Linked DNA regions of Saccharomyces cerevisiae S288C. Changing the gene in region 2 together with the main gene of any one other region gives a genetic interaction. Each region holds a gene or a part of one and is shown on either strand. Other genes may lie near its edges. The genes, in order: UBP8, SNT1, SGF11 and SET2.

Evidence for each region.
Region 1: mutations in SNT1 (region 2) and UBP8 together harm fitness less than expected from each alone (positive genetic interaction), as found in Saccharomyces cerevisiae (6 studies listed by BioGRID, with this or other methods).
Region 3: mutations in SNT1 (region 2) and SGF11 together harm fitness less than expected from each alone (positive genetic interaction), as found in Saccharomyces cerevisiae (4 studies listed by BioGRID).
Region 4: mutations in SNT1 (region 2) and SET2 impair growth when combined (synthetic growth defect), as found in Saccharomyces cerevisiae (6 studies listed by BioGRID, with this or other methods).

Annotation. Positions count from the first base shown.
Region 1 is NC_001145.3:714,808-718,630, reverse strand, and holds UBP8 (ubiquitin-specific protease UBP8), read right to left. Parts: upstream 1,917-3,823; coding exon 501-1,916; downstream 1-500. Other genes in the region: MRE11 (MRX complex nuclease subunit), read left to right, coding at 1-56; FSH2 (putative serine hydrolase), read left to right, coding at 2,322-2,993; FMP42 (Fmp42p), read left to right, coding at 3,186-3,823. UniProt on the Saccharomyces cerevisiae protein: Histone deubiquitinating enzyme component of the transcription coactivator SAGA complex. SAGA acts as a general cofactor required for essentially all RNA polymerase II transcription.
Region 2 is NC_001135.5:182,439-192,567, forward strand, and holds SNT1 (Snt1p), read left to right. Parts: upstream 1-4,050; coding exon 4,051-7,731; downstream 7,732-10,129. Other genes in the region: BPH1 (Bph1p), read left to right, coding at 1-3,585; fatty acid elongase ELO2, read left to right, coding at 8,154-9,197; exosome non-catalytic core subunit RRP43, read right to left, coding at 9,396-10,129. UniProt on the Saccharomyces cerevisiae protein: Part of the Set3C complex, which is required to repress early/middle sporulation genes during meiosis.
Region 3 is NC_001148.4:460,059-466,761, reverse strand, and holds SGF11 (SAGA histone acetyltransferase complex subunit SGF11), read right to left. Parts: upstream 801-6,703; coding exon 501-800; downstream 1-500. Other genes in the region: ELC1 (elongin C), read left to right, coding at 1-118; CAM1 (translation elongation factor EF1B gamma), read right to left, coding at 1,114-2,361; DIG1 (Dig1p), read left to right, coding at 2,923-4,281; mannosyltransferase complex subunit MNN9, read left to right, coding at 4,796-5,983; Arf family GTPase ARL3, read right to left, coding at 6,203-6,703. UniProt on the Saccharomyces cerevisiae protein: Component of the transcription coactivator SAGA complex. SAGA acts as a general cofactor required for essentially all RNA polymerase II transcription. At the promoters, SAGA is required for transcription pre-initiation complex (PIC) recruitment.
Region 4 is NC_001142.9:97,341-106,277, forward strand, and holds SET2 (histone methyltransferase SET2), read right to left. Parts: upstream 7,089-8,937; coding exon 4,887-7,088; downstream 1-4,886. Other genes in the region: CPS1 (Gly-Xaa carboxypeptidase), read left to right, coding at 397-2,127; TOH1 (Toh1p), read right to left, coding at 2,364-3,554; ASG7 (Asg7p), read right to left, coding at 3,810-4,439; ERG20 (bifunctional (2E,6E)-farnesyl diphosphate synthase/dimethylallyltranstransferase), read left to right, coding at 7,674-8,732. UniProt on the Saccharomyces cerevisiae protein: Histone methyltransferase that trimethylates histone H3 'Lys-36' forming H3K36me3. Involved in transcription elongation as well as in transcription repression.

The DNA.
Region 1 (3,823 bases), on a different chromosome or scaffold from region 2:
CAAGGACGCCAAAGACGGATATTCTTGGAAGTCTCCTTGCTAAGAAAAGAAAATAGTTGTACTTGATCCCTATATTATATTATATCCTATTTATAACCAAGGGCTTGCCTTCGCGAACAACAAGGTATGCCATTTTGAGAGGAGCAAATTTGCATTCTAAATTCATGATAATGATATGTTCTTTAATTATTACTATATATAAACTCACTTAGTTTTCCAGCCTTTGCTCTTTTGTTCGTATAGCAAGGAATGAAAAAAAAAAATCCTGAATAAACGTCATAGTAATTTTCTTCCTTAGTTAGATACAAAGGATTTTGAAATACAGTATATGCACAATCGCAACTCATTAAGAGCATAGGAAAGTATTCAATTTAAAGAAAAACATGATGGAAACGATGATATAGAAAAAAGAACGGAAGCAAGCGTTAACTGTGATAGGAATATGCATAGCTTTTTCTTCTTTTTTGTTTTATTATTATTGTTGAATGCTATTTGCTGAATCAATTTACTTGACGAATGGTGTAGAATAATAAATATGCCTGTTCCTTTAAAACCTCTTCTTGAGATATAGAGGAGACCATGGAATCATTGAATTTAAACCATTGCCCTCCAGAAATTTTACAAAATGCAATATAATGTCCCTCATTAACCGTCCCCTTGTGGGAAACAATACCGATTAATTCGTAAATAATGTCTGGAACCTTGCCATTTTCAGAATGCTTATCTTTTTCCTTCGTTGAACAGTAATTTTTCATATTTAAATAAGTTGGAAATTCAATAAAATCGTCTAGTTTTCTGTTACTTCCATTAAGTAGGTGTTCGAATCTTTTCAATTGCAAAACCAAAACCGATGGTAATTTGTGTATGCCTAGTTGCTTTATTGCATCTTGAGTGCTGTTACACTCCCCACAATGATAGTTGAAATCCTTCAACTGTTCTTTTTTATGGAAACTGTCAAGACATTCATAAAGTTTTTTCTTATCCTTGATATCCAGAGAAAGATCCAAGAATGGATCAATGGTTGTCTTTGAATTATTTTGACAGCCTGGACACACAATAGAACTTTCCAAGGAGCCCTCAAACACAGTATGCACTATGCATTCACACTGCTTATTATTTGCTCTGCTGACTTCCTTGGCATTTGGCAAATCAAGAACATAGCTTTGGTGGATTTGGTTAATTATAAACTGCCAAAATTCATGAGCATCTTGTTGTGAATACCCTGCTAGATTTTGATTGATTTTCCAGGCACAAGTTAAAAGATATATGAATCCGGTTTGCCGATTAGTAGATGTAGATGACGAAGAAGCTTGCTTTGTATTCAGCGCTCCATAAAGTTCATGAACAATTTTATCGAGTGCACATGAAAAACATTTATCTGGAGAACGCACTTTACAATTATTAGAATGAATTTGACTCATTGAGTGCCTAATAAAGTAAGGGTTATGGATTAGACATTGGAGAATACTACTCATGAAACAAGTGGATCCCATGTTGATCAGGCCAGAAAGCCCATCTCTTCTTTCCATGCTAGGAACCATGGTCTTTGTGCACACGTCGTCCCAATACTTCGCTAGGATAGCATCGTTAATCAGATCGATATTCCCTATATAGTCCTCACATTTGAAGCAAAATAAAAGGCCATTATTTGAGTTGATACCAAATATGTGACCAATCTGTTTACTGTGAGAGAGAAAATGCGAATGGTTCCAACATCCACAAAATCCACATTGTAGACACATGAAAGTTGCACCAGAGTTTATTTCGTGGCATGTACCACATTTCATGGTGTTTAAGAATTTTTCCTTGGGTACGGAATGATTTAATATATACCTGGCAGCATTGCACGTTTTTAGAACCCCATCTTTAGACTTTTCATTCTGAAATACTTGCTGTATATGTGGACAAATGCTCATAATTATTAATAACAAATAAAAAAAGCAGGGTTTCAAGTAGGACGACGAGGACCGAAGCTGTAGTTTTCCCTTTTGATCCGATCAATAAATAGTATTCAAAATTATGACAGCCAGTTGAAAGAAATGGACTAACTGGTCTCAAAAGAAAACCTTTATTATTATCCGTAAAATATCTTTTTAGAATTAATCAGGTCCACTAATATAATCCCTTTGCTATTACGACAGCTTTCTAGCCCATATACAATATAAATTATTGATGCTTTTTACACACTATAATCGAGGATTTTTTTTCACTTGAAAAATTCAAAGAAAAGCAAAAAAAGGAAGAATAGAGAAGAAAAAAAAGGTATAAGTGAAGAAAGAATGTGCAATACTACAAGACTATAAGATTTAATAGCTGTAACCATGACGAAGAATGTATTGATGTTACATGGGCTTGCGCAGTCAGGTGACTACTTTGCCTCTAAGACAAAGGGGTTTCGCGCCGAAATGGAAAAGTTAGGATATAAACTCTACTATCCAACAGCACCCAATGAATTTCCCCCAGCTGATGTTCCTGATTTCTTGGGTGAGGTAATTGCTGATGCACCTGGGGATGGTGAGAATACCGGTGTGCTTGCGTGGCTAGAGAATGACCCTTCCACCGGTGGCTATTTCATACCGCAGACGACAATCGACTATTTACACAATTATGTCCTTGAAAATGGTCCATTTGCAGGTATTGTAGGATTTAGTCAAGGAGCCGGTGTAGCTGGATACCTAGCAACGGATTTCAATGGTTTGTTGGGCCTTACAACAGAAGAACAGCCGCCGCTAGAATTTTTCATGGCGGTCAGTGGTTTCAGGTTCCAACCACAACAGTATCAAGAACAGTACGACCTGCATCCAATATCGGTCCCATCTCTACATGTTCAAGGAGAACTTGACACTATCACAGAGCCGGCCAAAGTGCAAGGCCTATATAACTCTTGTACGGAAGACTCTCGCACTTTACTAATGCACTCTGGGGGCCACTTTGTGCCGAACTCAAGAGGGTTTGTGAGAAAAGTGGCTCAATGGCTCCAGCAGTTGACCTGAGGCAAGTATATATAGCACGTAATCTTCACATAATCTTCACATACATATTTATACATGATTAAATCCTCCGGGTAATAATACGTCAAATTAACTTAACTACCGATACGATGCTTCATTATGATAACGATAACAATGGCATCTATAAATGATTTTATTCCTCGTTAGGCCAGTATTAGGGCAGTAAAGACTGTAATGACCAGTACAAGAACGTTGAGATACGCACAGGTTGCCTGTGCTTGTATCTGGTGTCTTTTTTCAGCTGGTATTATCTTTGGATTTGCTGCTTTGAAACCTATTTTAATTTCAGAAGGTGTATACCATGAATTGTGTGATCCTAAGGATGGTGATAGATTATTATGTACTGCACAGGATCTGAAATTAAATTTTATATTTGCTCTCAGTGCTACTGTAACAAACATCATGGCCCTTCCTGTCGGTAAGATTTTGGATATGTATGGACCTCGTGTCTGCGGAATAATAGGATCATGTCTCTTGTTCCTAGCAAGCGGTAATTTTATTTCTGCCAAGCATCTAGTGTCTCTTTGGGACCCATATCTTGTCGGTTACACGCTTTTGGCAGTTGCCGGTCCGTTCGTCTTCATTTCATGTTTTCAATTGGCAAATAGCTTCCCACAAAGATCAGGAACCGTATTGGCCCTACTAACAGGATCATTTGATTCGTCATCTGCGCTGTTTCTGTTATATAGGTTGTTATATCAAAACTGGTTTCCTACCTTGAACGTTTCCAGATTTTTCACCCTATATTTGATTGTTCCAGTGTTTATTCTTGCCTGTCAACTCACGATAATGCCTCATTCTTCCTACAAAAC
Region 2 (10,129 bases):
AATAACAATTTGAACCTGATGATGTTGAAGCATCCATACACGATGTCAAATCTCCTTTATTTTCTTCGCAAATTTCGACCTGATACGTCACAGATAGTTATGCCTAAAGATTTTTATTTCTCAAGTTATACATGTCTCTTGCATTGTGTTATTCAGATTGATAAATCATCATTTTACCATTTCAAAAACGTTTCTAAGTCGCAACTGTTACAGGACTTCAAAATCTGCATAATGAACTTAATATATTCCAATACTCTAAAGCAGATAATCTGGGAGAAAGAAGAATACGAGATGTTTTCTGAGTCACTGATGGCGCATCAGGAAGTTTTATTTGCACATGGAGCATGTGATAATGAGACCGTTGGCTTATTGTTAATATTTTTTGCCAACAGATTACGTGATTGTGGATACAACAAAGCAGTCTTCAATTGTATGAAAGTGATCATTAAGAACAAGGAAAGGAAACTAAAGGAGGTGGCGTGTTTTTTTGACCCAGCGAATAAAAGTGAAGTACTCGAAGGTTTAAGTAATATCCTCTCATGCAATAACTCTGAAACAATGAACCTCATAACTGAACAATACCCATTTTTTTTCAACAATACACAACAGGTACGGTTCATAAACATTGTCACCAATATCTTGTTTAAGAACAACAATTTTTCTCCAATAAGCGTTAGACAGATCAAAAACCAAGTTTACGAATGGAAAAATGCAAGATCAGAATACGTCACCCAAAACAATAAAAAGTGCCTTATTTTATTTAGAAAAGACAACACATCCTTAGATTTTAAAATCAAAAAGTCCATATCAAGATACACTTACAACCTCAAAACGGATAGAGAAGAAAATGCAGTTTTCTATCGAAATAATTTAAATCTTTTGATTTTTCATCTGAAACATACACTGGAGATACAATCAAATCCAAATTCGTCCTGCAAGTGGTCATCGGACTTTGCAGAAGATTTTGATGGGATGAAACGGAGGCTTTTGCCTGCTTGGGAACCAAAATATGAACCACTCATTAACGAGGAAGATGCTAATCAAGATACTATAACAGGTGGTAACAGACAAAGGAGAGAAAGTGGAAGCATTTTATCCTACGAATTTATCGAACATATGGAGACTCTTGAGTCGGAGCCAGTTGGAGATTTGAATGAGAATAGAAAAATTCTTAGACTTTTGAAGGATAACGATTCCATTGCAACTATTTGGAATTGCAGTTTGATTATTGGATTAGAAATTAAGGAGGGGATTTTAATTCATGGCAGTAATTACCTTTACTTTGTAAGTGATTACTATTTTAGTTTAGAGGATAAAAAGATTCTAAAATTATCAGAAGTATCGCAAGAATCACGGGATATGACGGTTAGCTTAATTAACGGCCCTGATGTTAAAAGGGTATCAACTTTCCTAAAGCACGAAGTCTTTGTTTGGAAACTTCTCGATATCACTTTCGTTACCAAACGACCCTTTCTACTTCGGGATGTCGCCATCGAATTATTGTTCAAAGAGAGAGTTAGCGCTTTTTTTAGTTTTTACAACAAAAGAGTGAGAGATGACGTTTTACGGGTACTGAATAAGATCCCGAAGCACCTTCCAGCAGATCCAATTTTTTCAAGCGTTTTACAAGAAATAAACGACCGAGGAAATAGTATAGTGGCAAGAAATGGAATAGGAAAGGCAAGCATTGCTTCTAAATTCACTAGCGTCTTCTCAGCGAACAACAGCCTAATAGATGGATTTGAGATCAGCAAAAAATGGGTTAGGGGAGAGATTTCTAATTTTTATTACCTGTTGAGTATCAACATCCTAGCGGGAAGGTCATTCAACGATTTGACCCAATATCCAGTGTTTCCGTGGGTTATTGCAGATTACGAAAGTAACGTACTCGATTTAGAGAATCCTAAAACTTACCGGGACCTATCGAAACCTATGGGCGCTCAAAGTGAGAAAAGGAAATTACAGTTTATAGAGCGTTATGAAGCTTTGGCTTCCCTGGAAAATGCTGATTCCGCACCATTTCATTATGGCACGCATTATTCCTCAGCTATGATAGTATCTTCATATCTGATAAGGCTGAAGCCCTTTGTCGAATCCTTTTTGTTATTGCAAGGCGGAAGTTTTGGCCCTGCAGATCGTTTATTTAGTTCGCTTGAAAGGGCCTGGAGCTCTGCTTCTTCTGAAAATACAACGGATGTCAGGGAATTGACACCTGAATTTTTTTTTCTACCTGAATTTTTGATCAACGTTAATAGTTATGACTTTGGTACAGACCAAAGCGGTAAAAAAGTTGACGACGTCGTACTTCCACCCTGGGCAAATGGTGACCCAAAGGTTTTCATTCAAAAGAATAGAGAAGCTTTAGAAAGTCCTTATGTATCAGCACATTTACATGAATGGATTGATTTGATATTTGGTTACAAACAAAAGGGGGACATTGCTGTGAAATCTGTTAACGTATTCAACAGATTGAGTTACCCAGGCGCTGTAAATCTAGATAACATTGACGATGAAAATGAGCGCAGAGCTATCACAGGCATTATTCACAACTTTGGTCAAACGCCTTTACAAATATTTCAGGAACCTCATCCGGAAAAAATAGCCTGCAATGTTCAACAGCTAACAACAGAGGTATGGCGTAAGGTTCCAATGAAGCCAATATTTGAGAAGACAATCTTTAATTTGAATGAAAAGAACAGGTCCGTCGATTATGTTATACACGATCCTAGTTACTTCGATTCATTATACTGGAGGGGCTTCGCTTTCCCAAACTTGTTTTTCAGAACGGAAGAATCGTTAGTGTCATTGAGAATTGTGCATAAAAATTGGTTAAAAATTGGACTAGATATTTTTAAAAAGACGCATATGGCTCAGATTACATCGTTTGCGTACTGGAAGTTGGGCGAATTCATAACTGGCGATAAAAATGGGCTGATAAAAGTTTGGAAATATCGTAAAGATAAGCATTCGGTTTCAGGTAACCTTGAGAACAAAAAAACAATGTTTGGGCACCTATGCGAGCTAAAGGAGATGCGCTGTTATCACGACTACAATACGCTTTTAACCTTAGACATCAGCGGCTTAGTATATGTCTGGGACATGATTAATTTCGAACTAGTAAGGCAAATAACAAATGATGCGCAAAAGGTCGCAATATCTCAACATGCAGGGAGCATTATGGTATTGACTAAGAATAACGCCATTTCGATCTTCAATCTAAATGGACAAATATATACATCAAAGAAATTCGAACCAGCTAAAATTGTAAGCTCAATTGATTTTTTTGACTTCACTAAGTTAGACGCAGGTTACAGAAAGCATATCTATTGGAAAGAGATGGAAATACTACTAGTGGGCTTTGAAGATGGAACTATAGAAATTTACGAGCTCTTTTTGAATTTTCATAATGAATGGGCGATAAAGCTACTGAAGCAGCTCTGTACCGAAAAAGGGAAAGCCATAACTAGCATTAAGGGACAGGGGAAGACATACCTGTCCCAGAAAAGACGCAAGGATACAGCAGAGCCTCATGAGATAGAAGTGATTGCGGGAACATTAGATGGCAGATTAGCTATTTGGTACTAGGCATCACATCGTAACGCCTTTCTTTAAATGATTCAATTTTTGTAGTTTATATCTTTACTTTTGAAACTGATTTCTCATCCCATCTAGTATTGTAATTGCGTACGTATCCAATATCATTACCAACGCCGGGTATTTTTTTCTAGTATTTCTTCTCCATTTCGCCTATGGAAAACGGCAAAAGGGTAAAAGAAAAAAACAAACGATTAATTCTTCTTTGAATTATGTAAAAATCAAAACGCAACCGCAGATTTAATAGAGACCAGAAATTCGGATTACTATTGACTTTGTGCACCACCTTCAAATTTACTCATTGTTTAAGACAGGCAGTGGGAAAGAAGCCGTCATATTGCTCGAATCCTTAACAAGCAAAATATACAACCACTAAATTATTCCGAAAGGGCCTGCTTAATAATTTGCCTACTAACTTGTGCATAGAACAGCAAACAGAAACAAAGCGTAAGAAACATGGGGTATCCGCCACCTACACGAAGGCTTGGAGATAAGAAAAGGTACCATTATTCCAATAATCCTAACCGAAGGCATCCTTCCGCTGTTTATTCCAAGAATAGCTTTCCAAAATCAAGCAATAATGGATTTGTATCTTCTCCTACTGCCGATAATTCAACAAATCCGTCTGTAACTCCCAGTACTGCATCTGTACCTCTTCCTACAGCGGCACCTGGAAGCACGTTTGGTATCGAAGCACCCAGGCCATCTCGATATGATCCGAGCTCAGTCAGTAGGCCTTCGTCATCATCTTATTCGTCAACAAGAAAAATTGGAAGCCGTTATAACCCAGATGTGGAAAGATCCTCTTCAACCACTAGTTCAACTCCGGAAAGTATGAATACGAGCACCATAACACACACCAATACGGATATCGGAAACTCACGCTATTCTCGAAAAACCATGAGCAGATATAATCCTCAATCTACTAGTTCTACAAACGTTACCCACTTTCCCTCGGCATTATCAAACGCTCCACCGTTTTATGTTGCCAACGGGAGTTCTCGGAGACCTCGATCAATGGATGATTATAGTCCTGATGTAACGAACAAGCTCGAAACAAATAATGTTTCATCTGTTAATAATAACAGCCCTCATTCTTATTACTCTAGGAGCAACAAATGGAGATCCATTGGAACGCCTTCCAGACCACCATTTGATAATCATGTCGGCAATATGACGACCACCAGCAATACTAACTCGATCCATCAAAGGGAACCTTTTTGGAAAGCAAATAGTACTACTATTTTAAAATCAACTCATTCACAGTCATCGCCTTCCCTTCATACTAAAAAATTTCACGATGCGAATAAATTGGACAAACCAGAGGCTTCAGTTAAAGTTGAAACACCCAGTAAAGATGAGACAAAAGCCATATCGTACCATGATAACAATTTTCCACCAAGAAAATCAGTTTCTAAACCTAATGCACCTTTAGAACCCGATAATATCAAGGTTGGCGAAGAAGATGCATTGGGGAAAAAAGAAGTACATAAAAGTGGGCGTGAGATAGCAAAGGAACATCCTACTCCTGTAAAAATGAAAGAGCATGATGAACTAGAAGCTCGCGCTAAAAAAGTAAGTAAAATCAATATTGATGGAAAGCAGGACGAAATTTGGACGACGGCAAAAACAGTGGCCAGTGCAGTCGAAGTTTCCAAAGAAAGTCAAAAGGAACTAACACGCTCTGTTGAAAGGAAGGAAAGCCCAGAAATTAGAGATTATGAAAGAGCATACGATCCGAAAGCCCTGAAAACAGACGTAACAAAGTTGACAGTAGACAATGATAATAAAAGTTACGAAGAACCTCTTGAAAAAGTGGAGGGGTGTATTTTCCCATTACCAAAAGCAGAAACGAGATTATGGGAATTGAAAAACCAGAAAAGAAACAAAATAATAAGTGAACAAAAGTACTTACTGAAAAAGGCAATTAGGAATTTCTCAGAGTATCCTTTTTACGCACAGAACAAACTTATACATCAGCAGGCTACCGGACTTATCTTGACGAAAATTATATCAAAGATAAAAAAGGAAGAACATTTGAAAAAAATAAATTTAAAACATGATTATTTCGATCTCCAGAAGAAGTATGAAAAAGAATGCGAAATTTTGACTAAACTGAGTGAAAATTTAAGGAAGGAAGAAATCGAAAATAAACGTAAAGAGCACGAACTAATGGAGCAGAAAAGACGTGAAGAAGGTATCGAAACAGAAAAGGAAAAAAGCTTACGGCATCCATCCTCGTCTTCCTCATCTCGTCGCAGAAATAGGGCTGACTTCGTTGATGATGCGGAAATGGAAAATGTATTGCTACAAATCGACCCAAATTATAAACATTATCAGGCTGCTGCAACAATTCCTCCGCTAATTTTAGATCCAATCCGCAAACACTCTTACAAATTCTGTGATGTAAATAACTTGGTTACAGACAAAAAGCTTTGGGCGTCTAGAATATTGAAAGACGCCTCTGACAACTTTACTGACCATGAGCACTCTTTATTTTTGGAGGGTTATTTAATTCATCCTAAAAAATTTGGTAAAATTTCTCACTACATGGGCGGCTTAAGAAGTCCTGAAGAGTGTGTCCTACATTATTATAGAACAAAGAAAACTGTGAATTATAAACAACTTCTTATCGATAAGAACAAGAAAAGAAAAATGTCAGCCGCTGCCAAGCGCCGCAAGAGGAAGGAAAGAAGTAATGACGAGGAAGTCGAAGTTGATGAGAGTAAAGAAGAGTCAACGAACACGATAGAGAAGGAAGAAAAAAGTGAGAACAATGCCGAGGAAAATGTTCAGCCGGTTCTAGTTCAAGGTTCTGAAGTGAAAGGTGATCCATTAGGTACACCGGAAAAAGTTGAAAATATGATTGAACAGAGAGGCGAAGAGTTTGCAGGTGAATTGGAAAATGCTGAGAGGGTAAACGACTTAAAAAGGGCGCATGATGAAGTTGGAGAAGAGAGCAATAAGTCCAGTGTAATAGAAACCAACAATGGGGTACAAATAATGGATCCAAAAGGAGCTGTTCAGAATGGTTATTATCCAGAGGAGACCAAAGAACTTGACTTCAGTTTAGAGAATGCGTTACAGAGAAAGAAACACAAATCTGCACCAGAGCATAAAACAAGTTATTGGAGTGTTCGTGAATCTCAACTCTTTCCAGAATTGTTGAAGGAGTTTGGCTCTCAATGGTCTCTCATATCAGAAAAACTGGGTACCAAATCTACTACAATGGTAAGGAATTACTACCAAAGAAATGCAGCTCGCAATGGATGGAAATTACTGGTTGATGAAACCGACTTAAAGCGAGATGGGACTAGTTCAGAATCTGTACAACAATCTCAAATTTTGATACAACCAGAACGACCAAACATCAATGCCTATAGTAATATTCCTCCTCAACAAAGACCGGCTTTGGGTTATTTTGTTGGACAACCAACTCATGGGCATAATACATCTATTTCATCTATCGATGGCTCTATAAGACCATTTGGGCCTGATTTTCATCGTGATACCTTTTCTAAAATTAGTGCTCCTTTAACCACTTTACCACCACCAAGACTACCATCTATTCAGTTTCCTCGTTCAGAAATGGCAGAACCTACAGTGACAGATTTGCGTAACAGGCCCTTAGACCATATTGACACGTTGGCTGATGCAGCTTCGTCAGTAACAAATAATCAAAACTTCAGTAATGAAAGGAATGCAATTGACATTGGCCGTAAATCGACGACAATCAGCAATCTATTGAATAATTCGGATCGAAGCATGAAATCTTCTTTCCAAAGCGCTTCAAGACACGAAGCACAGCTCGAAGACACTCCCAGCATGAACAATATTGTAGTACAAGAAATAAAACCGAATATTACTACGCCAAGATCGAGTTCTATTTCTGCATTACTAAATCCTGTAAATGGGAATGGGCAATCAAACCCAGATGGAAGGCCGTTGCTGCCATTTCAGCATGCTATTTCTCAAGGCACTCCTACTTTCCCTTTACCGGCCCCTCGCACTAGTCCAATAAGTCGTGCGCCTCCAAAGTTCAATTTTTCGAATGATCCGTTGGCAGCTTTGGCTGCGGTTGCCTCCGCGCCAGATGCAATGAGCAGTTTTTTATCTAAAAAGGAAAATAATAATTGAACAAACGGCTGAGACGGGCAATACATATGCTCTACTTCTTTTCCATCCAATGGTTGGTGAAACTCTCGAGCATACATTACCTTACGTGTGTTAGTGTACTATATTATATATATATATATGTATATATATAAAGGGAGGAGTTTTTAATTATAATTGTAATTTCGTATTTTTTCTGCATTATACAGTTTTTTCCGATTTTAAACGACTTTATTTAAGTGTCGTGTAAATATGTCACATTTTATTTTTGTACGTATTCACATGTCCTGGCGTGCGGCCATTGCTGAAAATCGCAAAACCCACAGAGAAATAAACATCGCGAAAAAGTCAATGAAAAATTGGAAAATATTTTTCATTTCACTATTATCCACAAGCAATTTTGTACAAAGTGAAAAGGTTGAACTAATTATCTTCGTCTAGAAGCCATGAATTCACTCGTTACTCAATATGCTGCTCCGTTGTTCGAGCGTTATCCCCAACTTCATGACTATTTACCAACTTTGGAGCGACCATTTTTTAATATTTCGTTGTGGGAACATTTCGATGATGTCGTCACTCGTGTAACTAACGGTAGATTTGTTCCAAGCGAATTCCAATTCATTGCAGGTGAATTACCATTAAGCACTTTGCCCCCTGTGCTATACGCCATCACTGCCTATTACGTTATTATTTTTGGTGGCAGGTTTTTGTTAAGTAAGTCGAAACCATTTAAATTAAATGGCCTTTTCCAATTGCATAATTTGGTTTTAACTTCACTTTCATTGACGCTTTTATTGCTTATGGTTGAACAATTAGTGCCAATTATTGTTCAGCACGGGTTATACTTCGCTATCTGTAATATTGGTGCTTGGACTCAACCGCTCGTTACATTATATTACATGAATTACATTGTCAAGTTTATTGAATTTATAGACACCTTTTTCTTGGTGCTAAAACATAAAAAATTGACATTTTTGCATACTTATCACCATGGCGCTACTGCCTTATTATGTTACACCCAATTGATGGGCACCACATCTATTTCTTGGGTCCCTATTTCATTGAACCTTGGTGTTCACGTGGTTATGTATTGGTACTATTTCTTGGCTGCCAGAGGCATCAGGGTCTGGTGGAAGGAATGGGTTACCAGATTTCAAATTATCCAATTTGTTTTGGATATCGGTTTCATATATTTTGCTGTCTACCAAAAAGCAGTTCACTTGTATTTCCCAATTTTGCCACATTGTGGTGACTGTGTGGGTTCAACAACTGCCACCTTTGCAGGTTGTGCCATTATTTCTTCATATTTGGTACTATTTATTTCATTTTACATTAACGTTTATAAACGTAAAGGCACCAAAACCAGTAGAGTGGTAAAGCGTGCCCACGGCGGTGTTGCCGCAAAGGTTAATGAGTATGTTAACGTTGACTTGAAAAACGTTCCTACTCCATCTCCATCACCAAAACCTCAACACAGAAGAAAAAGGTAAGTGTAAAATCTTTGAAAGAATTTAAGTATTCAACTTTCGTATATTCGTTTTTTCTTAGTGGATCTATTGTTACTATTATCACTATTATTATATTGTAAAAGACCGGATGGTTTTGTTATATATTACATACACATGTTATCGTTGAAAAAAGTTTTCCGTTTCCTTTCGACAGTCATCAGATAATTTTATCCGAGTCTTTTATATGTTAAATCTTGTTGACAAATCGTCCGCTCTAACCCTAGATAACAACAATGATCTTTTTATCATTTCTGGCGTTATTTTAGCGCCTCCTCCCACTAATGTTAATTGCTTATAGTTACCTGAAGGAGCAGCGAGGATGGAGATCGTACTGTGTATACTTGTTTCTTCCGCTTCAGTATCTAGGTCTGCTATTAGCACAGTGTTCAATTTATCCATATCAATGTCCACTTCCTCTTCTTCAGAGTTATCAGAGTTTTGTAATTGGCATTCGGGGTCTAACTCCACTATCCCATAATTTGAAGCAAATGCAATATTCTTTGCGTTTATCATTAACGGTACTGACTTAGTTTGGTCGCAAATAATTTCATACGTTTCTCTTATGGTGGCACTTCTTCCTCTTGTTCTTATAGTCATTCTTAAATCGGACGCACGCTCATCTATAAATGCTCTAGGTAACTTTACGCTCTGTAAAGCGTACATCAAAGAATTCCAACACAAATCGAAGACTGGACCAGTGCGACTCAAGACTACAATTTTCGCATACAAAACGTATGACCATTTTCTTTTCATTTTCAGGTTTGTTTCATTCAGCGTATCATCTTCTAATTCATCGGGATACAAGACGGAAAACGTACCGTCTTCATTCGCACTACGAACACCAGCTTTTACCTTCAAGGCTTTTTTAGGCAATATCCTAGAGTGCAATATGGAATCGTGTAGTTTTTGTGATA
Region 3 (6,703 bases), on a different chromosome or scaffold from region 2:
AAATTATAATTTGAAGTACAGCGGCGTTAGCGAGGACGATGATGAGATTCCAGAGTTTGAAATACCGACAGAAATGTCGTTAGAGCTGCTACTTGCGGCGGACTATTTGAGTATATAGGTACAGGAAAAACAAAAAAGAGTTAGGAACTCTTTCAAAAAATTATATTATATGGGTGTGATGTTGCAGCATATTACTCTGATATGTAGAAAATTGAATGCATTGTTATAGCGTACTTATGTGTAACCCTTCCACATAACGGAATGCAAGGTATCATTTGGCATCATATATGGGAGGTGCTATTATAAAAACATGTAGTTAATAGCTAAAACAGTTTTCGCCTTCTCTCTTTGAGATGTTACCACATAACTACATGAACTTCTATGTGCAGATATGCCGCATAAAATGTAAGAATCTTGCTTTTTTTATGAACCTATGCCCACAAGAAATGGGCTAAAATCTGTCTGTGCCTTTTCAATTACCCATAAACCACCACCTAGTGTCAACGTCTAGCACCCCTACTCAAACATCTCTGTAAATGAGCTGCTAGTCTGTTTGCGGACACATCCCTGCCACAATTCTCACAGTGAATATACTGAGAGGACTCTTGTTGCTTCTGTAGTCCATTAATATCGAGAGATCCGTTCGGGTCGAAATAATAACTGCGAAGATCCGGATATCTTGTCTTCAGCAATTGTTGTTGAGTGGTTTCCCGAGCTACAATGTCCTGGATCAATGTGGTTAACAGGTTATTCAGTATCCCATTTGAAATAGAATCTATAGTAATAGTTTCTTCGGTCATCGCAACAGGAAAACCCCGTAACCTAAAGAATTTGAAGGATTATTATACTGCTCTGCTCAACGGAAGAAACGCTAAGTTACTTCTTCGATTCCTCAGAATCAAGAAAATAAGCAAATCACTGCTATACATATAATACATGCATCTATTATATAACAATAATCCAAGATACGAAAAGGAAAACTTGATTTTTTTTCTGCGGAAGTTTCAGAGCAGAAAAACTCTGTTACCCTATATTGCGTCATAAATAAGATATAGATAAAACTACCTAGCATACTTTATAATAAAAGGCGACATGAAGGATAGTACGAAGAGATTATTTTAAGACCTTACCGTCAACAATTTCCTTTGGTTCGCCATTGACGGAAACTGGCTTATCCCAGGCCCACATGTTATTGATGAATTCTTTGTCGTCGTCGTTAGTTGGATCCAACTTTGCATAGTCGTAAGATTCCCAATCTGGTGCGACATCGAAAGCTGGAACGTAATCTTGGCCCCTAACCATAACTGCACCAACAATACCGTTGTTGTTGTTTTCACCGTAGACTACCAGACAACCGAACATGTACTTGGTAGAGGCGGACAATCTGTTGAAGAAACCACCGACCAAGTTGTTGGACATGAAAGTCAAAGTCAATTCATCGTTGTACTTGTAGGTGACTTTCCACAGGGAATACTCTTCTGGGTTGTAGTGCTCCCAAAACCAAGGTAAAGCAACTGGTCTGGTGTCTTCATTGGAGTACTTTCTCTTCCAGTCATCCAAAACGAAAGTTGACTTGCCCAATAATTCTAATGGGTGCTTTGGTTTCTTGGAAGAAGTTTCAGTTTCGGTAGCAGCTGGCTTGGCTTCCTCCTTCTTCTTCGAAGCGGCGGGAGCGGCGGCTGGGGCCTTCTTTTCCTTCTTCTTTTGAGGGGGACTCAATGGCTTGTCAGCGAACTTGAAATCCTTGTATTCATCCTTCAAGAAGGGTGAGGCTCTAACGGTGTTGAACCATCTCACGATGGCTGGATGTTGAGCTCTCCATTCAGTACCGAACAGGCTTTCAAAGTATCTGGTGAAAATCGAGGCAGCCACCAAGTCGGCCAAGGAGATGTTTTCCGTAGCCAAATAGGTGTAGTTTTTCAATCTGTTCTCGAAGATGTCGACGATCTTGTCAACAGCGTCCATCGCAGAATCAACGCTCTTCTTGTTGTAGGGGGCGCCGCCCTTCAAGGGAACGATGGTGTTGGCAATCTGGATGCACAGATCACTGTTGGCCAAAGATTGCCATCTGATGATTTGCGCTTGGGCATTTAAGTCATCGTCGGCACCTAAAAGTTGAGTCTTCATCTTGTCGTCCTGTGAAAGCTTTACTAAATAATAGTTAATCGCCATTGCCTCGGTTAGCTTGTAACCCTTTGGACCCACGAAAGCCGGAACCTTCTTCAAGGGAAAGTCCCTTGCGAACTGTTCAGCGGCGGCATCTGGCGTAACAACCTTAACGTCCAGCTTCAAAGCCTTGACAAGACCTCTTGGGACCCAAGTTCTAATTCTGAAGTTAGCATATAAAGTACCTTGAGACATGGCGTGCAAAAACTGTATCTGATCTTGAGTTTCTATGTTCTGTATGCTCTAATAACAGAAAATACAATAACAAGGAGGGAAGACCAATTTGCGGGCTGCCAAGCAACACAACCAAACCCTGCTGATAAACGAAAACAAGAAAACTAATAAAAAAATAAATAAGGAACTCTACAAGGACTACACTAATCATGTCTCACTCCCGCGGATTGAAAAAACGAAAGAAAAAAACAGGAATCAACGCCCAACGACCTGCAGCAGCAAGCGTGAGAAATTCCCCGAGTGGGTCACCGCGAGCGGAAGATGAAACAAGCAGCAGTCGGCTTGCACAGGCCTTGCATGTATGCGTTGGTGGGCCTTGGGCTTTACTTATAAGCAGCTGCTTCGCCACTTGATACGGTTGTTCTTTACATCTGTTTCTCGCTGGGGGAAGTTTATTAGGTTTAGTTTTTCCGCTTTGTGCTTTGCGTTTTTTTAGCTTATACAGAAGAAACGCACTTAAAAAGAATCAAATCAGTAACAAATTTTGGTATTGTTTCTCAAAGAAGAAAATAGAAAGTGAGAATGGCCGTATCAGCCCGTTTGAGAACGACTGCCGAGGATACATCCATTGCTAAATCAACACAAGATCCAATTGGTGATACAGAAATCAGTGTAGCAAATGCTAAGGGCAGCAGCGATAGCAACATTAAGAATTCGCCAGGCGGAAACAGCGTTGGTCAGGAGTCGGAGCTAGAGCATGTCCCTGAGGAGGATGACTCTGGTGACAAGGAAGCAGATCATGAGGATTCTGAGACAGCCACTGCGAAGAAGAGGAAAGCCCAACCATTGAAGAATCCGAAGAAATCATTGAAGAGGGGCAGAGTCCCGGCGCCTTTGAATTTATCGGATAGCAACACTAATACACACGGTGGTAATATTAAGGACGGCAACTTGGCTTCGTCTAACTCTGCACATTTTCCTCCTGTTGCTAATCAAAACGTGAAAAGCGCGCCCGCACAAGTTACTCAGCATTCCAAGTTCCAGCCCCGTGTCCAATACTTGGGAAAGGCCAGTTCTAGACAATCTATACAAGTGAATAATAGCAGCAATAGTTATGGGAAACCACACATGCCCTCGGCGGGCATCATGAGCGCCATGAACCCTTACATGCCCATGAATCGCTACATAATGTCACCATATTATAATCCGTACGGTATCCCTCCACCTCACATGCTGAACAAGCCCATAATGACACCCTACGTGTCGTATCCATATCCAATGGGACCGCGGACCTCCATTCCTTATGCTATGCAAGGTGGCAACGCTAGGCCCTACGAAGAAAATGAGTATAGTGCTAGCAATTACAGAAACAAGAGGGTTAACGACTCATATGATTCGCCTTTGAGTGGCACCGCTTCCACTGGGAAAACCAGACGATCCGAGGAAGGCTCAAGAAATTCTAGCGTAGGATCAAGTGCGAATGCCGGTCCTACGCAACAGCGCGCGGATCTACGCCCAGCAGATATGATACCTGCTGAAGAATACCACTTTGAACGGGATGCATTACTCTCGGCCAACACGAAAGCCAGAAGCGCAAGCACAAGCACAAGTACAAGCACAAGCACAAACCGGGACAGGAGTTCATGGCATGAGGCAGAACCCAATAAAGACGAAGAAGAGGGTACGGACTTGGCCATCGAGGACGGAGCGGTCCCCACTCCCACTTTTACTACGTTCCAGCGGACCTCGCAGCCGCAGCAGCAATCACCTAGTCTTCTTCAAGGCGAAATCCGACTCTCATCGCATATTTTTGCCTTCGAGTTCCCCCTGAGCTCTAGCAATGTAGACAAGAAAATGTTTATGAGCATATGTAATAAAGTATGGAATGAATCAAAGGAGCTGACAAAAAAATCATCATCACATCACAGAACCGGAAAATAGTAGCCACACAGGCACTTATAAACTTACATACACTCGCATACACTCACCTACTCACACACGCACTCACACACACACTCTCACTCGCACACCAAGGACAATTCAGTACATACACAATTTTTATATAAGTTTGATAAACTAAAAGATGAGGGTGAGTATTCACCTTATTAATAGTTACAGCCTTTATCGTCACTAGACACGACAGCATTGGTTTGTCTTTTTTTTTTTTTTTTTTTTTTCCTTTCCATCGTTGTAGCGGATTTGGCGTTGAAGTATTTTGATATAAGTAAAACAGAACACCAAATCAAGAATAATAAAGGAGGAAAAGTCGTCAACCAAGCGGATTCTCAATTGGTAGAAAAGCTTTTATTATTTTCTGTTAGCCGCTCTTGGGACCCGTTATTTCTGAACCTATTTTTCCTTCCGCACTTTGTGAAAGTAAGAAGAGAATAGCATCAATTTTAGTATTTTTCAAACAGAAGAATTTAAAAGAGCTAGAATAAAAAGTTAGGAAACAATGTCACTTTCTCTTGTATCGTACCGCCTAAGAAAGAACCCGTGGGTTAACATTTTTCTACCTGTTTTGGCCATATTTCTAATATATATAATTTTTTTCCAGAGAGATCAATCTCTGTTGGGACTTAATGGCCAGTCCATTTCCCAACACAAATGGGCACACGAAAAGGAAAACACATTTTATTTTCCCTTCACCAAGAAATACAAAATGCCAAAGTACTCTTATAAGAAAAAAAGCGGCTGGTTGTTCAACGATCACGTGGAAGATATTATCCCAGAAGGTCATATTGCACATTATGATTTGAACAAATTGCACTCTACGTCAGAAGCAGCTGTCAATAAGGAGCATATTTTGATATTGACTCCAATGCAAACATTTCATCAACAATACTGGGACAATTTGCTGCAGCTAAATTACCCTCGGGAATTGATTGAATTGGGGTTCATTACACCAAGAACAGCCACTGGTGACTTGGCCTTAAAGAAATTGGAGAATGCTATTAAAAAGGTTCAAACGGACAAGAAAACTCAAAGATTTAGTAAAATTACTATTTTGCGACAGAATTCCCAGAGTTTTGATAAGTTGATGGAGAAGGAAAGACACGCTTTAGATGTTCAAAAGGAAAGACGTGCAGCAATGGCTTTGGCGCGCAATGAATTACTATTCTCCACCATAGGACCTCACACTTCTTGGGTGCTGTGGCTAGATGCCGATATTATAGAGACACCACCATCTTTAATTCAAGACATGACCAAACACAACAAAGCTATCTTAGCTGCAAACATTTATCAAAGATTTTACGATGAAGAGAAGAAGCAACCATCAATCAGACCATACGATTTCAACAACTGGCAAGAAAGTGACACCGGTTTAGAAATAGCCTCTCAGATGGGTGATGACGAGATTATTGTCGAGGGTTATGCAGAAATTGCCACTTATAGGCCATTAATGGCTCATTTCTACGATGCTAATGGCGTACCAGGTGAAGAGATGGCGCTGGATGGTGTTGGTGGAGGCTGTACTTTGGTCAAAGCAGAAGTTCACAGAGACGGTGCCATGTTCCCTAATTTCCCATTTTATCACTTGATTGAAACAGAAGGTTTTGCTAAGATGGCGAAGAGATTAAACTACGATGTATTTGGCTTACCAAACTATTTGGTTTATCACATAGAGGAAGAGAACCATTGAGCAACTGAGCAAAAAGCATACAGAAGCTATAGCGTTATTGAAAGATAATATTGTTGCGATTATTAGTTGAAAATAAACAAAACAAGATATATATTCATATATATATATATATAATTTACACATGTATATTAAAAAATGCCGAATAAAAAGTGCTACAACAACTAATTTCTGAGCTTGAGAATAAACCATTCACATTTTATTTCTTTTGGTGCTTCTTTATCATTTATAAATCGGTGGTCTTGACTTTTTATTCCTTTCTAGTCTAACAATCATCCATTCTATAGCGTCTTTAACACCTTCTCCAGTCAATGCGCTTATTGGTAAAACCCTACTATCTCTAGCGCTTATATGTTCCGCAATCTTATTAAATACTTCTTTTATATCTTGTACTTCCATTCTATCTTGTCTATCTTGTTTATTGGCCAGCATCAAGATGGGTACACCTTCAATTTCTTCATCCATTACAACTGACTGTAGGGTCGTGGAACATTCGTCTAATCGTTCTCTATCTGAACTATCCACAATGAAAATTATACCATGACATAGGGAATAGTATTCGGACCACATTGATCTCAGTGATTCTTGACCACCTACATCCCAAAACTTCAAGATCTGTTTACTGTCAACGGGTATTGTCGCCACATTTTGTCCTACCGTAGGCTGTATCTTTTCCAAGGCTTTGAACGCCAGAGAGTATTCCTTTTTCAATGTCTCCAAGAA
Region 4 (8,937 bases), on a different chromosome or scaffold from region 2:
GGATTTTGAAAATCAGCTACGAATAGATAGTCTTTTTCTATTTTCAGTAAATGTGTCATTGAAAAAAGTTTCTTTAGAACGACGCTTTTTGCAGGCTACTAGAAACACCCACTTCTAGTAGCTTTACGTGACGAATTGAACCGCGTGATCTTGTGCACTGTTATCCTAAATGCTCAATGCTCAGAACATCTTCTTGTTATCTCAGCCTCGCCACCCTTATCTTATCATAGCGGCCTTTTATTTTCCCCTTTGGGCAAAATACGATACAGCCTTCCAAGGTCGGGCAAGAAAGTTTATGACATATAAAAGAAACGGGTACCCCAAATACGTCTCTTCCCATTGTAAAACTAATCCTGCATCATCACATTAAGGAATCATTCATCTAACAATTACATTATGATCGCCTTACCAGTAGAGAAGGCCCCTAGAAAGTCCCTATGGCAAAGGCACAGAGCCTTTATTAGTGGAATAGTTGCCCTTATTATCATCGGCACCTTCTTCCTCACTTCGGGTCTCCACCCAGCACCACCTCATGAGGCAAAGCGTCCACACCATGGAAAAGGTCCCATGCACTCACCCAAATGTGAGAAGATTGAACCATTAAGTCCATCATTCAAACATTCCGTCGACACAATTCTTCATGACCCTGCCTTTAGAAACAGCTCCATTGAGAAACTGTCCAATGCTGTTAGAATCCCCACTGTAGTCCAAGACAAAAACCCCAACCCCGCAGATGATCCGGATTTCTATAAGCATTTTTATGAACTACACGACTATTTTGAGAAGACTTTCCCTAATATTCACAAGCATTTGAAATTGGAGAAAGTCAATGAGCTGGGTCTTCTATACACATGGGAAGGTTCTGATCCTGATCTAAAACCATTATTGTTAATGGCCCATCAAGATGTTGTACCTGTAAACAACGAAACTTTATCATCCTGGAAGTTCCCTCCATTTTCTGGTCACTATGATCCAGAAACAGATTTTGTTTGGGGGCGTGGTTCTAACGATTGTAAGAACTTGTTAATTGCCGAGTTTGAAGCTATCGAACAACTGTTGATAGATGGATTCAAGCCCAACAGAACTATTGTTATGTCGCTTGGTTTTGATGAAGAAGCAAGCGGCACCCTCGGTGCTGCCAGCTTAGCCTCATTTCTTCACGAAAGATATGGTGATGATGGTATTTACAGTATCATTGACGAGGGTGAAGGTATCATGGAAGTCGACAAGGATGTCTTTGTTGCCACTCCAATCAACGCTGAAAAAGGCTATGTCGACTTCGAAGTCAGTATTCTAGGCCATGGTGGTCATTCCTCTGTCCCACCTGATCATACCACAATCGGTATCGCTTCAGAACTGATTACTGAATTTGAAGCCAACCCATTTGACTACGAATTTGAGTTTGACAATCCAATCTATGGATTGTTGACATGTGCTGCTGAACATTCTAAATCTTTAAGTAAGGATGTGAAGAAGACAATTTTGGGCGCACCATTCTGTCCTAGAAGGAAGGACAAGCTTGTTGAGTACATTTCCAACCAATCACATTTGCGCAGCTTAATAAGAACAACACAAGCTGTTGATATCATCAATGGTGGTGTTAAAGCTAATGCTCTGCCCGAAACTACCAGATTCTTGATCAATCACAGAATTAATTTACATTCTTCTGTGGCTGAAGTCTTTGAAAGAAACATAGAATATGCGAAAAAGATTGCTGAGAAGTATGGCTATGGTTTATCTAAGAACGGTGACGATTACATTATCCCTGAAACCGAGTTAGGTCACATTGACATTACTCTCTTGAGAGAATTGGAACCAGCACCACTTTCGCCAAGTTCAGGCCCTGTTTGGGACATTTTGGCAGGTACTATTCAAGATGTTTTTGAAAACGGTGTTCTACAAAACAACGAAGAGTTCTATGTGACTACTGGTTTATTCTCTGGTAACACCGATACTAAATACTACTGGAATTTGTCCAAGAACATTTATAGGTTTGTTGGCTCTATCATTGATATTGATTTACTGAAGACATTGCATTCGGTTAATGAACACGTGGATGTCCCAGGTCATTTATCTGCCATTGCCTTTGTTTACGAGTATATCGTTAATGTTAACGAATACGCTTAAGCGCAATGATTGAATAGTCAAAGATTTTTTTTTTTTAATTTTTTTTTTTTAATTTTTTTTTTTTTTCATAGAACTTTTTATTTAAATAAATCACGTCTATATATGTATCAGTATAACGTAAAAAAAAAAACACCGTCAGTTAAACAAAACATAAATAAAAAAAAAAAGAAGTGTCAAATCAAGTGTCAAATCAAAATTTAAATGATGATGATAATATGACCATACAATGACTTAAATCAAATCAAAACCACTTGCGTAAAGGCAGTGAATATGGCCAAAATATAATACCATACACCGTTTTGCATCTTCGTTAAAGCAACACCATTCGACTTCGAGGTGGTCGAAGGCGCAGTAGCAGAAATGCTCATCAATTGAGAAGAATAGGTTTCGTTTTCTGGAATTGCAGCCAATAAATCGTTAACAGTATCAGCAGAAACAGTTCCATTGAATGGAGTGGCATCAGATATGAAAGAAACGACATTTCCACTAGAATCGAAAACAACACCACCTTTCATCGTTCCAGTAGTATTTCTTGTTATGTATCCGTAAGATTGGATACCAGTACCCAAATCCTCGATACCTTGGAAAGTGTGGAAAGTAGAATAGAGATGGTTTTTCTCCGTACCATTCATAGCTTCAAAAATATCGTATTCCCCACATCCACTAGCCCAACATGAACAGTTGGCATTGGTTGGATATTGAGAAGTCCTTGCAATGTGATCGTTTAGCAACCAAATAGCAGGCAAGTCATAGTACCCAATAGAGCTGCTATTTTTCTCAGTTTCAGTAGGCATTTCGAATTCAAACAAAAACATCTTTGTTGTACCTCCGTACCCATAGTAAGCTGGAATGCCACTACGGTAAACCCCACAACCCTTATCATAACCTGATTTTGGACATGAGACATTCGAATAGATTATGTATTCTTGATCTGAAGAAATCAAAGTGCCATCTGCCAAAACGGTAGCTTCACTGGCGCTGCCAGTACCGTTAGAACTAGCGTAGGACAAAGCATTTCCTAAACAAGGGGAAGCTTCACCTCCATGATTTAGAAAGGTAACGTTATCAGCGGTTTTGGAACTGGACTCATAGTAGGCAAGACGGTTCCAATCAGAAGAACTTCTGCTGTTGTTGACGGTAAATCCAGGGGATGTGTAAAAAGCAAATTGTTTCAACTTCAATGGTCCACGGAAATGAACGGATAAATAGTCTGCTAGTGGAGCGTTCTTACCACTAAACCATACTCTGTCACCCACTTCGCAAGTACACGATTCATTGTTGGTGATATCTTTAAACTTATTCACATCTACGTAGGAGCCTGTAAAACCAACATTAGTGAAATCCAACTTTTGGTACGACTGAGGTCCACTGGCAGCGACTGTGTGCAACATAAACATGCACACGGAAAGGACTATACTCTGTAACATTTGTCTTATTTAAGCTTGTAATGTTTGCACTTGAGTATGTTCTATTATGGCTGCTTCCTTCGATAAGGATTGTTTCTCGAGGATTTTCAGGTTTATAAATAACCTAAGCTCGGCAAAATAGACAAAAGAAAAGGGCGGAGCCAAGACTTTGAAAAAAAAAAATGGAAAAAGGAACCCTTGCAGATACAGCAAAAATGGGAAATGGAGGCTGTGGAAAAGAAAGAGGCTGATATCATTTTCTGTCTTTAGATCTACCTAACGGCTTTTCTTACATAGGAGAACTACAAATATTATGAGTATAGAATCGATGAGGAGGCCAAGCAAAGACCGTAAATTCCAGTCGCGGAAGGTCTTACGTAATAAATCGTGCGACTCCAGCACATCGTGGGCTACCTTCTTCAAAAACGCGTAACGATATTTTTTCAAGGTGTCATTCTCGTCCTCGACTTGTTCCGTGTTCACGTTTAGGAAAGACGACGGCATACCGTCTTTGCTCTCGTAATATTCTTCGCTGTTGCTATCACTGAAATTCTGCATGACGCGAATCTCTTGGAGGACTTCTTCCTTTATGGGTATCACCGTTCTTTTAGTTATGGCTTCATATTCATAAAATCCTGGGTATTCGTCTTCTTGCAAGTCGTGGAATTCCAATTCATGTGGTTGCCAATACTGTAAGAACCACCAGGCTAAAAGATTCACCAACCAGAAAACGGGGCACAAGATTCCAAAAACAAAAAACCTTGGCAGCCAAGGTTGGACAGGCACACTCATTTTACATGATTTGCATTGGCAACAGTATTTTTTCATCCAAGGGTTCTCATCGTTCTCGAAGGGCGCGGCTAGATGTTTTGTTTTATGCTCAATACTTGATGCTAAAGTAGTCATGTTTCTTGTCGTCATTCTTTGAATTTTTGTAGTCCTATGTACAAGCACAATATAAATGACAGACTAGTCAACGACGCTGACCCTTTATATGTTCCCCGTATATTCCTTGTTTTCATTGCAGTTAACATGTAAATTTCCCGATGCGGTAATTACGTTTCAAAGTCATTTCAACACTTCTATTGACAGCAAAAAAATAAAGACACTTGAAACGCACGATTTTTTCAAGAATAATATCTGTCGAGAAGATGTGTCACATTACCTATCATTACAGTGCTACTGATAGCCCACTAATGCGGATATTTAAATATATGCACCAAAAATGTATAAAGAAATAAACGGTAAAGACAAAAAAAATTACTTATTACAAATCGCAATTACAATTAAAGTACAAGACTTCCTTTGGGACAGAAAACGTGAAACAAGCCCCAAATATGCATGTCTGGTTAATTATGATGATGTTGAAGGTGGAGGAGAAGACATCCTTGTTGATGCTGATGATAATGCCAACGCCTTTTTTTGCTTCTTCTTGAGGATAATCTTATCCATGTATGAATTTATGAATTCTTTAACTTTATGCCTTTTTCCTTTGGTTAAGTCATCAGGCGGCGCTCTTGAAGAATCTTTTTTAAGTTCCTTTGTAGTTAGGATTTTCACGATGTCTTTAGCACATTGTTTAATGTTTTCATGATCAAATTGTTTACTTTGTGGGTTTTTTTTTATTAAGTTGGGTACAAAAGATGCAAAGAATTTATTCCAGTTGTGCTCTAGTCTTTGGGACTGGGAGACCGTTTTTCTTTTCAACCGCTTAGCCTCTTTTGCTTCCACTAGTTTTTTGGCCTCTTCCTTTTGTAACTCCTTCTGTTTGTTGGCCTCCGCTATAATATCCTCCAAAACGCTTTTTCTTTCATTCTCAAGCTTTAGCTTTTGCTTCAGGCTTTCCAATTCTTCTTGTTTGGCTCTTTCTAGCGCAATTCTTTCGTATTCCAGTCTTTTTTGTTTCTTCCTCTCATATTCTTCGTCACTCAGCTTATGTTTCTTAGAGTCTAAAGCGCCAGGCGTTTTTGGTATTCCACTGCTACTCGGAGAATTTACTTGTGTATTTGACCTTGAACTAAAGACCTTAGATGATCCCGAAGGTGGATAGTGTAGTTTCGTTTTCTGTTCTGCATTATAATACAATGGGCGACCGTTTTCGTGAATGATCTCCCAGCCTGGAGGTAATCTCACCCTTCTCAAATCTATCATTTTGCTGGCTGCGACGTTTATGTCTTTCTTCGTTATCCTTTTATATGTTTCAAATTTCGACCATTTCTCCAATAACTCATCGCAGTTTGGCTTTAAAAATGGAAACTTTGCAGGGAGAGTTTTTACTACATTATCAATTTGTGACGACTCAATACCGTTTCGAGTTGTCTTTGGTAATTCCAACAAAAAATCTAAAATTCCCTTTATAAACTTTATATCATCTTCTTCAGTCTCGTTTCCTTTTCCATCTACCTGAGGTTGTTCCGTGATAAACAATTTAAGCATTTTGCTAAAACAGGTGTAACCGTGTAGTTTGATAGCCTGATGACGAAGAGAGTCATCATCGATAGTAAAAAGTCTCTTCAAGAGTTTGGATGCAATTATCTTATTATCTTGCTGTAGTAATACACTCATGATCTTCGTCACATCCACTGGGCTGTCGATAGGTTGGACTTCCAATGATTGAAGAAATTCAATATTTATGTTCTCGTTTTCATTCTTTATTATTGGCTCACCGCTTAATTTCTTTAACTTTAGCCATTTTTTCTCCATGGAAACAGTCACTCCCAAGGCATCAGCGATGTTCTGGGGCAATAAAGATGCCGCATCTGTTTGAGTCTTACCACCGAGAAACCCAATACAATTTGGCTCCTCACAGTAGCATTTCTGAGCTTGAGCACCATAACGATCCACATTATAATCAAAAGTGATTTCCTCACCTTTTAAAATTTTTCTTTGAGCAAATATTCCCATGCGTAGCTTATCCTTAACAACCCATTTATTAACATATGCATTGGGGCTGCAAGAGTGATTGCAAAATCTGGCCAACGAACCCTTTATTGTGGCGTCAATGAATTCTCCGTTCTGTAACATCATAAAATAAAAATGCTTGAAATGACGTTGGTCATAGTCTATTAACCTATCTCTAAATTCCATCTCCTCGATCACCTCACCTTTGTACTCGTAAATGAACTGGTTGGCTTCTATGTCCTGTTCGGCTCTTACGCCATAACCTTTATGCTTTGTTTTAAATATGGCTATCGGAGCGTACTGCTTCTTTTGAAATCTCTGATTTTGACAATCATTACCACAAGATGAACACAAATCGTTGACACATTCTATCAACGTAAGTCTATTGATACAGTCAGAATCCTCGTCACAGGCATGGTTGACGCCATCTGAGAATTCTTCATAACAGTCACATTCCATGAAATCATTATTCTTAAATGTTCCGATCCTCTTGTTCGCATATATACAGTCATCCAAGTTTTCAAATTTGGTCAATGCTTCCTCTGTGAGATCAGGCTCTTGATCAAAAAGCCTTTGAGGTTTATGGCCCTCAGCGTTGTTATTCAGTATTTCTTTTTCATCTTCCGACGCACTCACACTTTGGTTCTTCGACATGATCACGTAAAACAACAACCAGGAAAGGAGAAAGGTTTGACAGCACGACTATGCAGTTTTCTATCACACGTTCGAAAGCCCCTTTGAAAAGCTGCCAACGTGACCTTACGTTCTGATAAATAACCACCAAATTACCAATAATTCTAATAGTTTCTTGGAATTTTTCACATGTTTGCAGTGAATAAAAAAAAAAAAACGTTAAAGGTGATATTGATCACGTGACAAATCTGTAAAAGTACGGATACTGTCCTTATTACTGCGATATACAGTGTGAGGTATTCTAAGCGGTATATTCACCGTCCTCTACACATATTTTAAATACTGATGAAGTGACAAGCAATATCATTGAGCATTCTTTTTTCAATAGTCGAAGTCAGCTTCTTCTCGTCGGTTCTAAACGAAACGCCTTGTTGAAAAAGACCGATAAATAGAGGAAGCAACGGCAGGAAATATATATAAACGCATGTCGAAACTAATACTTTATGATAGATTGTTCTTCTATCAGTTTTCATTTTAACTTTAAAAACTCAACCAACAGGTATTGGACTGACATAGGCACAATAAACTCAAAAATATTACGTAGAAATGGCTTCAGAAAAAGAAATTAGGAGAGAGAGATTCTTGAACGTTTTCCCTAAATTAGTAGAGGAATTGAACGCATCGCTTTTGGCTTACGGTATGCCTAAGGAAGCATGTGACTGGTATGCCCACTCATTGAACTACAACACTCCAGGCGGTAAGCTAAATAGAGGTTTGTCCGTTGTGGACACGTATGCTATTCTCTCCAACAAGACCGTTGAACAATTGGGGCAAGAAGAATACGAAAAGGTTGCCATTCTAGGTTGGTGCATTGAGTTGTTGCAGGCTTACTTCTTGGTCGCCGATGATATGATGGACAAGTCCATTACCAGAAGAGGCCAACCATGTTGGTACAAGGTTCCTGAAGTTGGGGAAATTGCCATCAATGACGCATTCATGTTAGAGGCTGCTATCTACAAGCTTTTGAAATCTCACTTCAGAAACGAAAAATACTACATAGATATCACCGAATTGTTCCATGAGGTCACCTTCCAAACCGAATTGGGCCAATTGATGGACTTAATCACTGCACCTGAAGACAAAGTCGACTTGAGTAAGTTCTCCCTAAAGAAGCACTCCTTCATAGTTACTTTCAAGACTGCTTACTATTCTTTCTACTTGCCTGTCGCATTGGCCATGTACGTTGCCGGTATCACGGATGAAAAGGATTTGAAACAAGCCAGAGATGTCTTGATTCCATTGGGTGAATACTTCCAAATTCAAGATGACTACTTAGACTGCTTCGGTACCCCAGAACAGATCGGTAAGATCGGTACAGATATCCAAGATAACAAATGTTCTTGGGTAATCAACAAGGCATTGGAACTTGCTTCCGCAGAACAAAGAAAGACTTTAGACGAAAATTACGGTAAGAAGGACTCAGTCGCAGAAGCCAAATGCAAAAAGATTTTCAATGACTTGAAAATTGAACAGCTATACCACGAATATGAAGAGTCTATTGCCAAGGATTTGAAGGCCAAAATTTCTCAGGTCGATGAGTCTCGTGGCTTCAAAGCTGATGTCTTAACTGCGTTCTTGAACAAAGTTTACAAGAGAAGCAAATAGAACTAACGCTAATCGATAAAACATTAGATTTCAAACTAGATAAGGACCATGTATAAGAACTATATACTTCCAATATAATATAGTATAAGCTTTAAGATAGTATCTCTCGATCTACCGTTCCACGTGACTAGTCCAAGGATTTTTTTTAAGCCAATGAAAATGAAGAAATGCGTGATCGGAAATTACGGGTAGTACGAGAAGGAAA